Astyanax mexicanus: one gene and its partner. The protein of the gene in region 2 purifies or fractionates together with the protein of the main gene of each other region. This does not show direct contact. Links are inferred from orthologs where the notes say so. Each region holds a gene or a part of one and is shown on either strand. Other genes may lie near its edges.

Evidence for each region.
Region 1: the proteins of transmembrane protein 43 (region 2) and bzw2 purify together in Homo sapiens (affinity purification with mass spectrometry; 3 studies listed by BioGRID and IntAct, counting the BioPlex papers as one, with this or other methods). This does not show direct contact. The link is inferred for Astyanax mexicanus from reciprocal best matches to the Homo sapiens genes TMEM43 and BZW2.

Annotation. Positions count from the first base shown.
Region 1 is NC_064410.1:44,753,604-44,761,364, reverse strand, and holds the start of bzw2 (eIF5-mimic protein 1), read right to left. Parts: upstream 3,605-7,761; 5' UTR 3,504-3,604; intron 1-3,503. UniProt on the Homo sapiens protein: Translation initiation regulator which represses non-AUG initiated translation and repeat-associated non-AUG (RAN) initiated translation by acting as a competitive inhibitor of eukaryotic translation initiation factor 5 (EIF5) function.
Region 2 is NC_064431.1:31,251,353-31,259,211, forward strand, and holds the start of transmembrane protein 43, read right to left. Parts: upstream 3,400-7,859; 5' UTR 3,157-3,399; coding exon 3,145-3,156; intron 1,423-3,144; coding exon 1,273-1,422; intron 463-1,272; coding exon 328-462; intron 200-327; coding exon 105-199; intron 1-104. Other genes in the region: zgc:112334 (rab GDP dissociation inhibitor beta), read left to right, coding at 4,546-4,587, 6,966-7,073, 7,192-7,288, 7,423-7,557, 7,734-7,859. UniProt on the Homo sapiens protein: May have an important role in maintaining nuclear envelope structure by organizing protein complexes at the inner nuclear membrane. Required for retaining emerin at the inner nuclear membrane.

The DNA of each region.
Region 1 (7,761 bases), on a different chromosome or scaffold from region 2:
TTGCGCTGCACGGCGGGGTGGTGTTCTTGGAGATGGGAGAACAGGTTTGACGTATGTCCACCTTTAGCTGTGACTTTACGGCCACATTGATTATAAATCGGATAACCATCCTCGGGTGCGTTCGGCGGGTATCTGAAATAGTCCCACACTGCTGATTTTAGTTTAGCCTTTTTTTAGGCGGACGGAGATTTGTTTAGTCTGATGCACTTTCTGCCGTTCTCACCGCTGTGTGCTGAGCAGCTGAAGCGGAGCAGAGTTGCGCATGCGCGGGTGAGTTTCTCCGCTGGCTTGCGTTTTACCGGTAATAAGCAAACACACACGGTATGATAACCGTGCATTTTAATACCATGGTATACCGTGAAACCGGTTACCGCTGCAACCCTAGTGCAAATTAAGTGTCTTTTACTTAGAATTAATTCATGTCTTACTGCAAGAAACTCCAAAATATTGCCATAATTTATTCCAAGATAAAAATAAATATAATCCAATTCACTCTCCATTTTCATATATACAAAATAGTATCCTTGAATTGGAGCTTTGATGTGATATTCAGTATCTTCTTTATGGGCAAAAATTTACAGAAAAGCAAGCTTTATTATTCTCTGGCTATGAATTATCTCTTTCCCACACCATAAAAAGTTGTGACCACGACTTAATTATCTTGTTCACACCCTTAATTATCTCGTTCCCACGCCTTAATAAGTTGTGTCCACGCCTTAGAATCTTATTCCCACACCTTAAAAAAGCCGTGGCCACATATATTTATATATATACATTTTTATTTTTTTTATTTTAAGTGATCCTACTTTCCCCATTCAAACTGTGAGATTTGCAAAATCCCGTGTAGTATAACTATATACAGCACGTGTGGCTAAAACATGCATGCGGTGTTCCGTCGAGTTATGCTACGCATCCATAGGTGCTTCCTAAAGGAACTGCGCATGCGCTGACCTACAGTTTCTAATTATTTCTCGTGTTTTATATAATAAATCTTTTTTTCTGTTTTTTTTGTGCATTAAACAACATGGACTCACTGTCATTGCACAAAAGTGCAAATGAAAATTATTAACGATAATACAATAATTTGTTTAAAAAATACAGTAATTTGTAATGGCCTCTCATTGCTACAACTAAACAAACTGTACAATGATACAGATACTTATTAGTCTAGATGGAAACAGGGGTCCACGATCACATAGTGGATTTTTTTTCGCCACCTGTTTTTTCTTAATCTTTAAAGTGTCTATTTTAAGATTCTGACAGGTAACAGGATGAAATAATGTCCCATGACATTTATTTTTAACCCTTTAATGCATCTATGCTAATTCCCAACCGGAAAAAAATATGAAGAAAATGGCATAGCTCCTTGAGTTAACAACCTATACAGACAAATGAGCACACTTTTCCATACAATTCTGGGCCAAGGAATTTAACGGAATGGTTATTTTTAAGTTTTTTCCACATTTTGACTTGATTTTGGGACAAAAATATAAAAAATAGCAAAAAATTTAAATTTGCCTGTATGTTTTCACATTACACTAAAATCATGTGCATTAAATAAAAACATCTAGGGTTTTTTCTTAAACTTTAAGATTATGACAAGTAACAGGACAAAAAATGTCCTGTGGGGCTTAACATTAGCTGTCATCACATATCCAATGTTATAAAAACATTTGAATGGAGTCTTCAATATACAGGTATGTGTTAAAAATTGTACATTTTTTTAAGGGTTCAGGCTTCAGAGATCCACGCCCTGCAGTCAAACCAGGAGGAGACAGACACCCGTGTTGTCCTGTACCTCCACCAAGCTGTAAAGTGGGGGTACAAGTCCAGTGTGATGAGGAACCCGAACACTGACATATTACTGAACCTCCTTTACCATGTCAGCAGTGTTAACCTTACCATGTTTCTTGACCCCGGAACTGGCTTGCATAGTAAACTAGTGAATGTCTCTGAGCTAGCTGGAGCTCTAGGATCTAAATAATGGAGCACTTTTCTGGGATACTATGCTGGACCAGTGTTCTTTTAAGAAGCTGCAGCTTGGTACATTGTGGCAGGGCAGCAATGAGTTCCAACAGGAGATAATGTTATGTATGTCCATTGGCCAACTGACCTCCATTGATGCTGTGAGAACCAAGATGCTGCAAAAGATGATGGGGTGAGCCCTGGATGCAAGTTTTAAAGTAGACAGAGTAAACTACAGGGTTTCCTACTAAAAAAGGACAGATCAGCCAAAATCTGAAAGGCCAAACCCTTACGGTCAGGGTATGGGTTGGGAGAAGACAATGGAAGAGGGGGTGTTGGAGCCGGTCTGGTCAGTTTGCCCCATCTTCCCTCTTTCTCTTGACATTTTTGCAAGAGCAGAAGAGACAGAATTGATTGGAGAGGGGACAGATGATCAGGAGGAAGGGACAGAGATTTAAAAGATAGACTTTGATGATCTCTTCAATGGTGATAATGATGATTAAAATTATTAGTACAACACTATACTAATACTTTATTTTTAGTACATTGTTGGATTTTATCATCAATTAGTTCTGCAGCTTATTACATTATTCATCCTGGTACCTGTCAGGATCTAAAAGTAGACTTTTAATAACGTGAATATAATGTATAATGTAAAAAACATACAGGCAACCATAACATTTTCTGCTATTTTTTTTTTTTTTGGCAAAACGTGTAAAAAACTTCAAAATAATCATTCTATGGAATTCATTGGCCCAGAATTGTATGGAAAAGTGTGCTCATTTGACTGTATAGGTTTTAACTGAAGGAGCTATGCCAATTTCTACATATTTTTTTAGGTTCGGATTTGGGATAGGTGTAGTAAAGGGTTAAAAATAAGCCCCACAGGACATTTTTGTCCTGTTACCTGTCAGAATCTTAAAGTAGACACTTCAAGGATTAAGAAAAACCCCAAGATGTTTTTATTTAATGCACATGATTTTAGTGTAATGTGAAAACATACAGGCAAATTTAAATTTTTTGCTATTTTTTTATATTTTTGTCTCAAAATCAAGTCAAAATGTGGAAAAAAATTAAAAATAACCATTCCGTTACATTCCTTGGCCCAGAATTGTATGGAAAAGTGTGCTCATTTGTCTGTATAGGTTGTTAACTCAAGGAGCTATGCCATTTTCTTCATATTTTTTTTCCGGTTGGGAATTAGCATAGATGCATTAAAGGGTTAAAAATAAATGTCATGGGACATTATTTCATCCTGTTACCTGTCAGAATCTTAAAATAGACACTTTAAAGATTAAGAAAAAACAGGTGGCGAAAAAAAATCCACTATGTGCTCGTGGACCCCTGTTTCCATCTAGACTATATGCTCTCAAAAGATTTACATACTAAGACTTCCACAGAAAACATGCTCTTTTTGGTATTTTTAAAGTTAAATATACTACTAGGGCAGCACGGTTTGACAAGGTAGCATAACACAGGCAGAACACCGGCACGCGAACACACTAGCGTTAGTTATTAATATGTGATTGAATGATTACCTGGCGGGGTCTGGGCTGGTGAATGGTTCTGGTCTCCGGTGATGAGGAGCGCGCGCACTGCTTCAACTTCAGGAGGCAACTGACATGCAGACCCAGCACAGCCCATAATATACCGAAGTTACAGCGAGTTTAACACAGTTTAACACACAGCTGGAGCCTCCAGAAAAGAACCACGCTTTAATATTGAACATGGACATCCACTGTAGGTAAATTATTAATCTTTAACGAAAAAAAATAAATGTTTAAAGTCACATTTCCTCGTGTTTATTTGAGCTGGTCTCCCCCACGCGAGCGAGTGAATGGTATAATCCACACTCTGGCTTTTCTACCATGACTACTGTGATTTAAACTCAGGGGCTCTGAGTGTTTGTGTACTAATTAGCACTGCATCCCAAATGAACCAGCGAGTTTGTAATGAGGGAAAAGACAAAGTTCTCTCTTGTTTGCAATTAAAAACAATAATTAGTTTCTAATACAAATGTGGGCTCGAGCAGCTGCTGAAAGAGAGATTCTACAGGTTGCTGCGGTTCTGAATACAGTGGCAAGTATTTGGTAATTTCATGGTTTTCTGCATACATTTGTCATAAAATGTGATATGATCCTCATTCAAGTCAAGAGTATTGACAAATATAATGTGCCTAAAACGAATAAAAACAATTATGATCATTTATGTCTTTATTGAGAACTATTTTAATATATATTTTATTATTTTTTTTATAATTTAAAATTATATCAGAATATTTCATGGTATTTTTGCAAAAACGATTTTCTTGGCGATATGACAAAACATTGAATTAAAAAAATAATAATTGCAACAATAATATTTAATATTTAATTTTAATTGATACTATTAATACACTCCATATGTGCAGAAATGAAGTAAAATAAATGATACTGAAGAGATACACTGCTTAGCCAAAAACAAAATGACACAAAAAAAGGTCGCATCTCATCTCATCCTTTTGTAACTAACAGCAAAAAAGTTGGACCCTGACAGCCCTTATGGTCCTAAAATAATAGAACAATGTTACAGTGCACTTTAGCTATAAGGACATTCAAAAGATTTGGCGATACTATTGCCTACAATACCTTATGGCACACTCCTACTCTTGACAGCAGTGCTTCAGCCAGTATGTTTTCTAATTTAAATTTGTATGTGTTTTAGACTCTGATACCAGCCACTGCCCATTCCCCAGTCCTCTTTCCATACCCCGGGTTGCCAGGTACGAAACACATTGGCAGGCAAACAAAGTGTGCTGCAGCCATGGAAGCCAGCGAGTGAACAGCATTATTATATGCTATGCAACCAAAAAAAACACTCTACTTAAATGGTAAGTACTGAGCTATGTATGCTATCAAGATCTGTAAACTCAAGTAACTTCAACTCCAAAGTGTATATATTTTCTGTGGGGTTTGTTTTTAAAAGAACATACATATCTGTGGTTATTGCTGCCAGGGGTGCTACAAGATGGCTAATAGTTGACATAATTATATAAAATCCACACAAGTTGGATTATAATATGCTCACAATAAAAACATTGCAAATGTATAAAGCATCTGATTAACTTACTGTACTTAGTTATGATTCATCATTGCTTGCCATTGCAAAAAAGTTATTGAACTCGGCCTGCGCTCTTTTATGTAGGCTCAGTGTACTCAACCTGGCAACCTGCCTAAGTAAAAGTAATGATAATGGTTCATGTAGGTAATTATAATATCAGATTGCTAGAATCCATGTAAACTTCAACATAGTAATGGTTAAGCAAATAGTAAAGAATCAGTAGCTGGTCTGTGGGTAGCTGGTCTGAAGTGGGTTTTTGAAGAGTTTTAGGGTCACTTCCATCAATGTCATTTACCTGGAAAATGGTGAAGAGATGGATTTAGTTCTGTTTGAATTTATGAAGTGCAGAAAATGTGAATGTTATAGTGTGGCTAATTGCTTTAACAAATCTGACTACAATAGCATTGTTATATAACTAGAAGGAGAGAAGCTAATACAGACACAAGCACCCTGAAAAACTGGCATTAATCTGCTTCAGTGTGTGAAAATCATTTAAAACATCCAAGTGGCAGGACAACACTAACATCTCAGTTTACTACAATTCCCTATGCCTGTAAACCTCTGGATCTACAGCCTTTATTTTAGTGGGAACATAAATGACCAAAAGCTAAACTAAACAAGACAAATCATATTTTTTAGATTCAGATTGCAACTGTATAGGAGACCCAAACATTATCAGTAAGGTTATGCAGGAGTTGTAGAAGCATTTTTATGTACCCTGGCAACACTTAAAACAAACAATAAATAAACAATACAGTTTTGTTTTGTGTACACTATATAATTGCTAAGTAAGCAGTACTAATATGGTCTGAGGTGACAGTATGTGTTCTCTATTGTCAGGCAGGCATATAGTGAAGACTCCTGAGAGACAGACACATCTCAAATGGGTTTCTGTAATGCAGAGGCACTACTAAATGTAGACTACAGTACACGCTTCTTCAGACTCTTTTGTCAGGAAGCAGAATGTCTAAAAACAGAAAATCACAAACAGCCCCCCTGCCTGTCAGAATCAGTTGTGCTGCTTGTACGGTGCGCCACCAACGCAGACATTCAGCTCTGGCCAAGAAGCAGCTCAGATTATGAGTCACACAACTGACGTGTGTGTTGTAGAGAAATACCTTTCTGTGGACAGCAATTTTATATCAAATCTGGTGCAGCATTGATTAATCAGACTTCACATCTGGATAAACTACTTTAAAGTAACTACTGACTTATCTGTATTCTTTGTGGCCTGGTACATGGATTCATAAATGTATGGTCTCATCACCACTGAGTTTTTTTTTTTTTTTTTTTCAAAATATCTTGATTTCCTCAAATGCAAACTACATTTATAAGTAGCAGCATGGTGCAATATATGTACTGATTCTCATGATTGCCTGGCTCACATTTACATTCTTATTCAAACTGACTTAGCAAGGTACGTAAATGTAACTTTTATGGTACATCAGTCTGTAATTTATATGTGGGCCTTTTGCTAGAAATATATATATATATATATATGTATATATATATACATATATATATATACATATATATATATATAAAACATTTTCAAGATATACAATATTTATCATGATACACATGACAATAGAAAAAAAGGCATGACAGATCTGATTACAGGTTGTTATAAAAATGCTAGTTCTTTAAGCACTGACAGTATCCGATCAAATTGAGCCAATCATTTCAGAAAAGCATTTTGTGTAACAAAGTTTTCGCAATATAATAAAATATTGCCCATACTGCCCACCCCTATTATCGTGAACAGGAAAGTAGTGTCAATTATGTGGACTACAATGAACTTAAAACTCACATGCAATCATACATGTCTGTTGACAGTCTCAAAATATATTAGCAGAGGTTTCCTAATAGTACTACACTCATTTCAGTATTCAGGCTAATATTTCATTAAAATGAAGAGTTTATTTTTAAGCTGGACTGTAAATTTAAAATGGTTTTGCTCATATTTGTGAATAACTATGTATACTAACTATATTATACATTGCTGCTACAAAACCTGTTTTAACTTCAGAGTGTTACCAGGAACTTGACTTAGAAAGCAATATTAATCTGCTAACTAAGCTAATGCTAATGTGTATTTGAAATGTAATATAATAGAATATTGTTTGGAAGAGATGCCTCCAGAGATCTTAGCATTTATAACACTGATCCCCAAGAATTCCAGTGATGGGCACATGACTAGGCTGTGGCATCAGCTTGCAGCAGCCAAAACCTGTGCTACATTCATGATTGACTAAATATATATTATAGGATAGACAGAATGGTGTGTCCTCTCCCTGCAATACAGCACATGTGCACAGTACTTTGAGTATCCCTTTGTTAAACATTATTATGCAAAAACTAACACTTTTTACTATAGAGTTTGTAGCATATACTGTACCTACTTGAACAGCCTAATGCCAATCTACTTAACTGCACTAAATTTATGTAGTACCTTTTGTATTTTACGTGGCCAGGCTTCATCCAAGTATAAATCTGATATTCCTGAAAATGAAAGAAGTTGTAAAGGTGTAAATGGGGTCTTGCCCACGCCATATAGACAGTTAAACAGAATAACTGCACACTTGGATTGGCTGTATATAATTTATGTAATAATTTATTATAAAGACTCTCACAAAGCAAGTGTTTATAGGTGTAATTTAATCTGCAGAGCAGCTTTGGTAGCCACAGAATGTACTT
Region 2 (7,859 bases):
AAAAAAAAATCTAGCAAAAAGTGAGTTTTATGTAATATGTCTCCTTTAAATGGGTTGGTTTAGGTGTGTCGTAGTCGAGCAAAGCTTTAATCTGTTTTACATACCGTGACTCCTGATACTCCACCCACTGATACATCTCCACATTCCTCTTCAGCTTCACCGCCTGAACCGCCACCTTATAGTTCGGCTCATAGAGAGGCTAAAGAAAGTGAGAGAGTGAGAGAGAGAGAGAGAGAGAGTTTTAAGTTAAAGTAGCAATAAGTGAAACACCACAGTGAAAAGGCCAGTGGTGAACAGGCGTATCTCCTCACTATTATGAGTTGTTACCTGAGAGGTGCGCAGTGGGCTGGACAGGTGAACAAGCCGATTATTGTTTTGGGGGTCCAAGTACATGTCAGGGTGCAGAGAGAGGACCTGAGAGAGACCCTCGTCAAGAGAAGTAGCTGTACGAATGGCCCGGCCCTGTTGGAGGAGGAACAGGGGGTTCTGGGGTAATTTTCTCTTTTATGGGGGTCCTCTGTGATTTTATTCCCATCCAGAACGACCATATATGTGCTTTTTTCAGACGTCCATGTAAACACAACAGCGAGTGGAAATGGAGGAGCTACTGAACGTGAGGTCACATGACCGAGAGCCTAAAACCTCATTGGTCCTCCTGTTTTCCAATTGCAGTCCAGATGCACAAGTTTTATCCCTGAATAGGAGTGTGAGAAACTAAGAAACTAATCCCGTCCGGATAGATTTATTTATTTTTTTTACATTAACAGCTAAAATGTGTTGTTATGTAATAAAGAATATACAAGCCCTGCTAAAATGATTAAAGAATAGATATTTGTTTATAAATTAAAGTTTTTAAATAAAAAACTATAACCTTCCCAGTTTTCAGTATACATCTTTTTATTAACATGAGCTGGCATAGGGGCTTTTATTATGAAGCCCAAAATGGCAGAGTAGCTTAACTGCTAAGTGTTTTACAAACTGAATTAATGGCTGATGTTTGATAACAGATAGAAAGATCTGTGCTGGTTAGATTAGTAGGTTCTGTGGATGATGTTTGAACATTACTCTGGTCTTTAGTTATGACAGTCAGAACACCTCCAGGAATTTATCATCTTAATGCAGCCCTCAGGAGGGTTCTGATACATATTCAAATGTGTTTAAAATTATTTCACCATTATTAAAAAAATTATATGTACAAGTTCTCATTTTCACTCTTCTAAACTGATTAATGAATTAATTCTGTGTAAATGAAGGTAAGATTTGGTCTCTGACCTCATTAGTAAACAGCACGTAGAAGGAGAAGATGAACAGGCAGACTCCCACCAGCATCCCCCCCATGGTTTCCCCCAGACGCTCCAGAAAGCCAGGGTTGGGTCGGGTGTGTACACGGGAGTGCTGATCCCGACCCTCTACTCCTGCAAACTAACACACACACACACACACACACACAAACATTAGTCACTGCAGTCACTGCATCCAGAATTGGTGCATTAATACAAGGACAATACAGCAGTGTGTTGTGAATCACATGTGTACACAATACACAATAAACAAAGCATCTTACAAATGTGTTTTTTCTCCCAAAGTCATTTCCCCAAGCACAAGATATCTAAAAAAACAGGATTGAACCCAGAAGGAAATGACAAAATTGAGTGGTGCTGTTTCTCTCTGTAACAATGCCACTTTTGAAGCTCCGCAGTTGACTAACATGGCAAAACACCAAGCAAAATGTGTATTGTTCCTGGGATGATGGCATGATGTTAGCCTGGAGCCCTAATTAGGCAGGTCTTGTAGAGTATGGTATGCAGTGGATAGTACCAATCAGATGTGCTCCAAAAGTGCTATTCTTCATACATAATATAAATGTACCAGGCCTGGTCCTGTACGTGTACACACTTTCAGTGTTTTGCTTTATTGCTTAATTTATATTTCCTACATTTTCTTCTTTGCTATTTATAGATATATGTTTAAGTAAAATAAACATTGTTGTTTTATTCTATAAACTACAGACAACTTTTCTCGAAAATTTTTAATAATAATATTGTCATTTAGAGCATTTATTTGCAGAAAATGGGAAACAGCTGAAATGCAAAGAAAACACGTTTACAATTATAAAATTTTAAGAGTTCAGAAATCAATATTTGGTGGAATAACCCTGGTGGTTTTTAATCACAGTTTCCATGCATCTTGGCATCATGTTCTCCTCCACCAGTCTTACACACTGCTTTTGGATAACTTTATGCTGCTTTACTCCTGGTGCAAAAATTTAAGCAGTTCAGTTTGGTGGTTTGATGGCTTGTGATCATCCATCTTCCTCTTGATTATATTCCAGAGGTTTTAAATTTTGTAAAATTAAAGAAACTCGTCATTTTTAGGTGGTCTCTTATTTTTTTTTCCAAAGTGTATAGTGCAGTACAGTTTATTGCAGTACAGTATAGTACAGTACAGTATAGTGGTAGTATAATATAGTAGTATAGTATAAGTATAGTAGTAGTATATTATAGTATAGCAGTAGTATAGTATAGTAGTAGTAGTATAGTATAGTAGTATAGTATAGTAGTAGTATAGTATAGCAGTAGTATAGTAGTAGTATAGTATAGTAGTATAGTATAGTAGTAGTATAGTATAAGTATAGTAGTATAGTATAGCAGTAGTATAGTAGTAGTATAGTATAGTAGTATAGTATAGTAGTAGTATAGTATAAGTATAGTAGTATAGTATAGCAGTAGTATAGTATAGTAGTAGTATAGTATAAGTATAGTAGTATAGTATAGCAGTAGTATAGTATAGTAGTAGTATAGTATAGCAGTAGTATAGTATAGCAGTAGTATAGTATAGTAGTAGTATAGTTTAGCAGTAGTATAGTATAGCAGTAGTATAGTATAGTATAGTAGTAGTATATTATAGCAGTAGTATAGTATAGTATAGTAGTAGTATATTATAGCAGTAGTATAGTATAGTATAGTATAGTAGTAGTATATTATAGCAGTAGTATAGTATAGTATAGTAGTAGTATATTATAGCAGTAGTATAGTATAGCAGTAGTATAGTATAGTATAGCTGTAGTATAGTATAGCAGTAGTATAGTATAGTATAGTATAGTATAGTACAGTACAGTAGTTATAATGGTAATCAGTGACTTACTGGGACGGACATGGTGTTTTGGGGAGGAACACCCAGAGCCTGAAGTCTGATGGAGGAAGAGGAACTTCAGAGCAGAAAGTCAGATCTCAGCTTCTGATCCTCCACAGGTCCGATTACTCTTCATATAAACCGGTTTAAATCAGATTAAATCCGGATTCTGCAGCTGTAAGCGCGCTGTTTCTGTGAAAGTGGAATAAACTCAGACCGGCTGTGTTTTCGACGCGTTGAATGAACGAAAGTCGCTTGGCTGAGCACTAAGCCTGCTGGGAAATGTAGTTTTACAGCACCGTGAAAGCATTTACTCTGTAGGTGGAAGTGTAGATACTCTTTAAGTAAAAATGTACAAATTCTTGTTTTAAAAATACTTAAAGTATAAAAATAAAAGTAATTTTAAACATGTACAGTGGCGTACACATTTCTTTTGTTTTTGCTTTTTTATTTTAATATCAGACAACTTTAATACTAGACAAGTATAGGATGAGTAAATATAAAAAGTTATTTTTAAACGAAATTCTTATTTATTAACCCTTTTAGACCTGACTTGTTTTCTAGTGATAAAAATAATATATAAAAATGCTATTTTTCTAACTGTAATGCACTCAAAAACACATGAATTAATATTGTATTTTGGCTGTTTATTGCAGTGGAGTCATTTTTTAAAAGTTAGTTATATTTCATATAACTCATCACCACTTATTTTTTATTCTATATATATATTAACCCTGACCTTAACTGAGGCGAGTGAGACCTGCAGTTCTTTAAATGTTGTTCTGGGTTTTTTGGGACCTCTTGGATGAGTTGTTCATGCCCTTTTGGAGTAATTTTGGTCGGCCTGTCACTCCTGGGAAGGTTCACCAGTGTTCCATATTTTCTCAATTAGTGAATAATTGCTCCTTTTCCAGACTGATAAATGATCAATAACCTTTTTTTTCATCTGTTTTTGAATTTTTTGAGATTTGGGCATAATATGATGCTTTTTGAGATCTTTTATCTGCTACATGTTGTCAGACAGGTTTTATTTAAGTGTTGACAGTTCTTGATTCTTCAGGTCTGACAGTATAATAATCAGAAAAATGTAAGTATGACAAAAAATCCAAATACAAAAGAAATCTTTAAGGGGGTAAATACTTTTTCACGCCACTATATATTTAGTATCTGTACATTTAGTATCTGTCACAGGTCAGCTGCTCCAGAATCATTATAAATGACCACATCAGTTCACTGAGGGCTCCTCTATCTATCTCTCACTGGACTCTGAGAGGATTATGTCTTAAAGGATCATGTAATATTACGCGTCTGAAGCTGAAGAAGGTGACGTAGGTATAAACTCACACATTCACACAGTCAGACCAGCTGTACCATCAGTTCCGTCCATCAGAAACCCAGAGCCGGGGATACAGGATGGCAGAGTTTGACGTTGTTGTGGTGGGAACTGGGCTGAAGGTAAGACTGATCCTCCTGATGGTCTACTGAATGTTTTATAGACTGATCAGCTCACATATAGTAGGCCACATAGGGTTAAAAAAATTACCTCTTAACTTCTAACATATTAATAATTTCAACAATATGTTCAACATATTAATATCATATTTTATTTTACACTTTTTAAAACCTCCACCTGCTGTTGAAATCAACCAATAAAAATGCTCTGCATAATGTTATGTTAACATGATTTCAAAATTTAAAGCATTTGTATTGGGCCACCTTCCGCTTACAGTAGTTTAGATCCACCCACTGATGCTGAAGTTATAAAGAGTGTTTTAGCTCTAAATTTGATTACATTATTCAAACATATACTGAAAATAATCTTATTTATTAATTAGTATGATGATTATAGATTTTAGATTAAAGTATTTAGTTCTAACATAATAATATAAATAATAATATAATAATTATTTACCACAACAGTGTAGAAATGAAGAGAGCACTTTATGCAGTGCATATAATTTTACATACAGTTGTTATCTTCCCTATATATTTTCATTTTACATGGTTTTATAGGCTATAATTATAAGTGTATTAGTGTAGTTCAGCCATATACAGTCATTTGCTAAGGGATAAATAAGGCACAAGCTTTAGAAAGATAACAAATTTATTTATTTAGACATTGATTAAAATTAAAATTAAATGTGCAAATAAATGAAAATTGTAGTAAATCAATAAAACACATAATTACAACACACCTCTGCATAAGCCTGTGAAACTTAATTCTGCGTTATTTTATAAAATAATAAATAAATATATTACCATGCAGTAGACAGTAAATGAAAGCGTCTTATTAAAGTTGGCGCAGGTTATAATGAAGCAGTAGTGCTGAGCGGTTTGTGGGATTAGCTCTAATCCTCTACACTCACCGCAGCAGACAAGATGCTGGGAATAATGAGCTGCTGTTTAGAGCTATTTAATATATATTCATTATTCATTTATTATACTGGAAGCTGTGTACATTAAACTTGTATACAATAAAGTTATTTTTTATTTAAATAAACAAACCCTTAAGACTGGTTTAAAACTCAGAGAGCTAAAACTTAAGAACTGAAGCTAATAATGCATGAATTAGCCTAATGTGGACATAATTCCACTGGGTTGCTTCCTTTCACCCTAAACTAAGATTGGACATTTATCACGTCATCACAGCTTGTATAAAAGCTATACATTTATTGACTTTTATTTACAGTATATAAGGAAGACCTACACTTAATAAAGAAGACAATAGACATTTGTTGAGTTTTACAAACTGTCTTTCTAAGCTTAATATGCTTTCCTACTCATTATACATCACCAATTACACAATTTTGGGTGCTTTTAGACATTTTCCAATGTTGTAAACTGTTACACAGCTATCACCAGGCCAACATAGGCCAAGCGTCAAACATCGGTTGGTACCCAACTTCAGGCCAACGTAGACCCGACATCAAACAATGGTTGGTATCCAACTTCAGGCCAATGTAGGCTCAAAGTCAAACATCAATGCCAATCAGGACCATGTAGGCCCAATGACAAACCTCATCGCTACCCAAATTCATTCCAACATAGGATCAAAATCAAACATTGTTCGTTACCCAACTTCAGGCCAACATAGGCCCAACGTCAAACATTGGTTGTTACCCAAATTCATACCAACAAAGACTTAAAATCAAACATCGGTTGGCACCCAACTTCAGGCCAATGTAGGCCCAATGACAAACATCGGTTGTTACCCAAATTCATACCAACAAAGACTTAAAATCAAACATCGGTTGGCACCCAACTTCAGGCCAATGTAGGCCCAAAGTCAAACATCGGTTGGCACCCAACTTCAGGCCGATGTAGACCCACCATCAAACATCAGTTGGCACCCAACATCAGGCAAATGTAAACCCAAGGTCAAACACTGGTTGGCACCCAACATCAGGCCAACGTAGGCCCAATGGTAAACTTCGGTTGGTGCCCAACATCAGGCCAACGTAGGCCAAATGTTAAACATTGGTTGTGCCCAACATCAGGCCGATGTAGACCCAACATCAAACATCGGTTGGCACCCAAATTCAGGCCAATGTAGGCTTAATGTCAAACATTGTTCGTTACCCAACTTCAGACCAATGTAGGCCCAATGTCAAACAATGTAGGGCCACCGACAAAAAAATATGTTCTTTTAACATGATCTGCCAATGTCATGCCAATGTAACTTGCTATCTGGGTTAGTTTTGCAACATTAAGGCCATCCACACAATTTTTGAAATAGAAAACTGTAGAGTTTTATTGATTTATTTAAAATTTGTCAGTGTCAGATCTCTGGTATAGAGCTTTTAAGGCACTTTTTGACCATGTTTCCTCTACAGGAGTGCATCCTCTCAGGCCTTCTGTCTATCTGTGGGAAAAAGGTTCTTCACATTGACCAGAATCCACATTATGGAGGAGAATGCGCATCTTTATCACCCCTGGAAGAGGTCTGTACACACACACACACAATATTCTAATGTCATTGCCAGTATTAGCATTAGCTTACAATATCAGAATATATTTACAAAATGTGTTATGTTTACTTTATTCATGTTTGTTAAACAGGTGTATAAGAGGTTTCATGTGCCGGGGCCTCCTAAAGGAATGGGGCAGGGCAAAGAATGGACCATCGATCTAGTTCCTAAATTTATGATGTCCAACGGTGAGTAAAATCTGTAAAAACTGTAAAAACTGACTAGCAGCAGTTTCATGCTCCTAAAATCCTTTTTAAGACAAATAACTTTGAATGTGTTTTTGATTGTTTATGGAATGAAGTCATGCTGTAACGTGTTACAGGGCAGATGGTGAAGATGCTGCTGTATACGGAGGTGACGCGCTATATGGATTTTAAGGTGGTGGAGGGCAGCTTTGTGTACCAAGCTGGAAAAATTCACAAGGTTCCAGTTACAGAGGCGGACGCACAAGCTTCAGGTAAGACTGATAAATTGGGCTGTATTTCAAATGTATTGGCATTTATTAAGAATAACAAAATAAATTCTAAATCACAATCTTGAAAACCAAATTCATAAAATTAAATAACATAACAGTTGCTAAGATCAGGTTAGGATTAGATTAATATATTAATATTCTGTGTCATGTTGTTGCAGATTTGATGGGTATGTTTGATAAGCGGCGTTTCCGGAAGCTTCTACTGTTTGTTCTGAACTTTGATGAGCACGACCCTCGAACCTTTATGGACATGGACCCCAACAGAACCACCATGAGGGACGTGT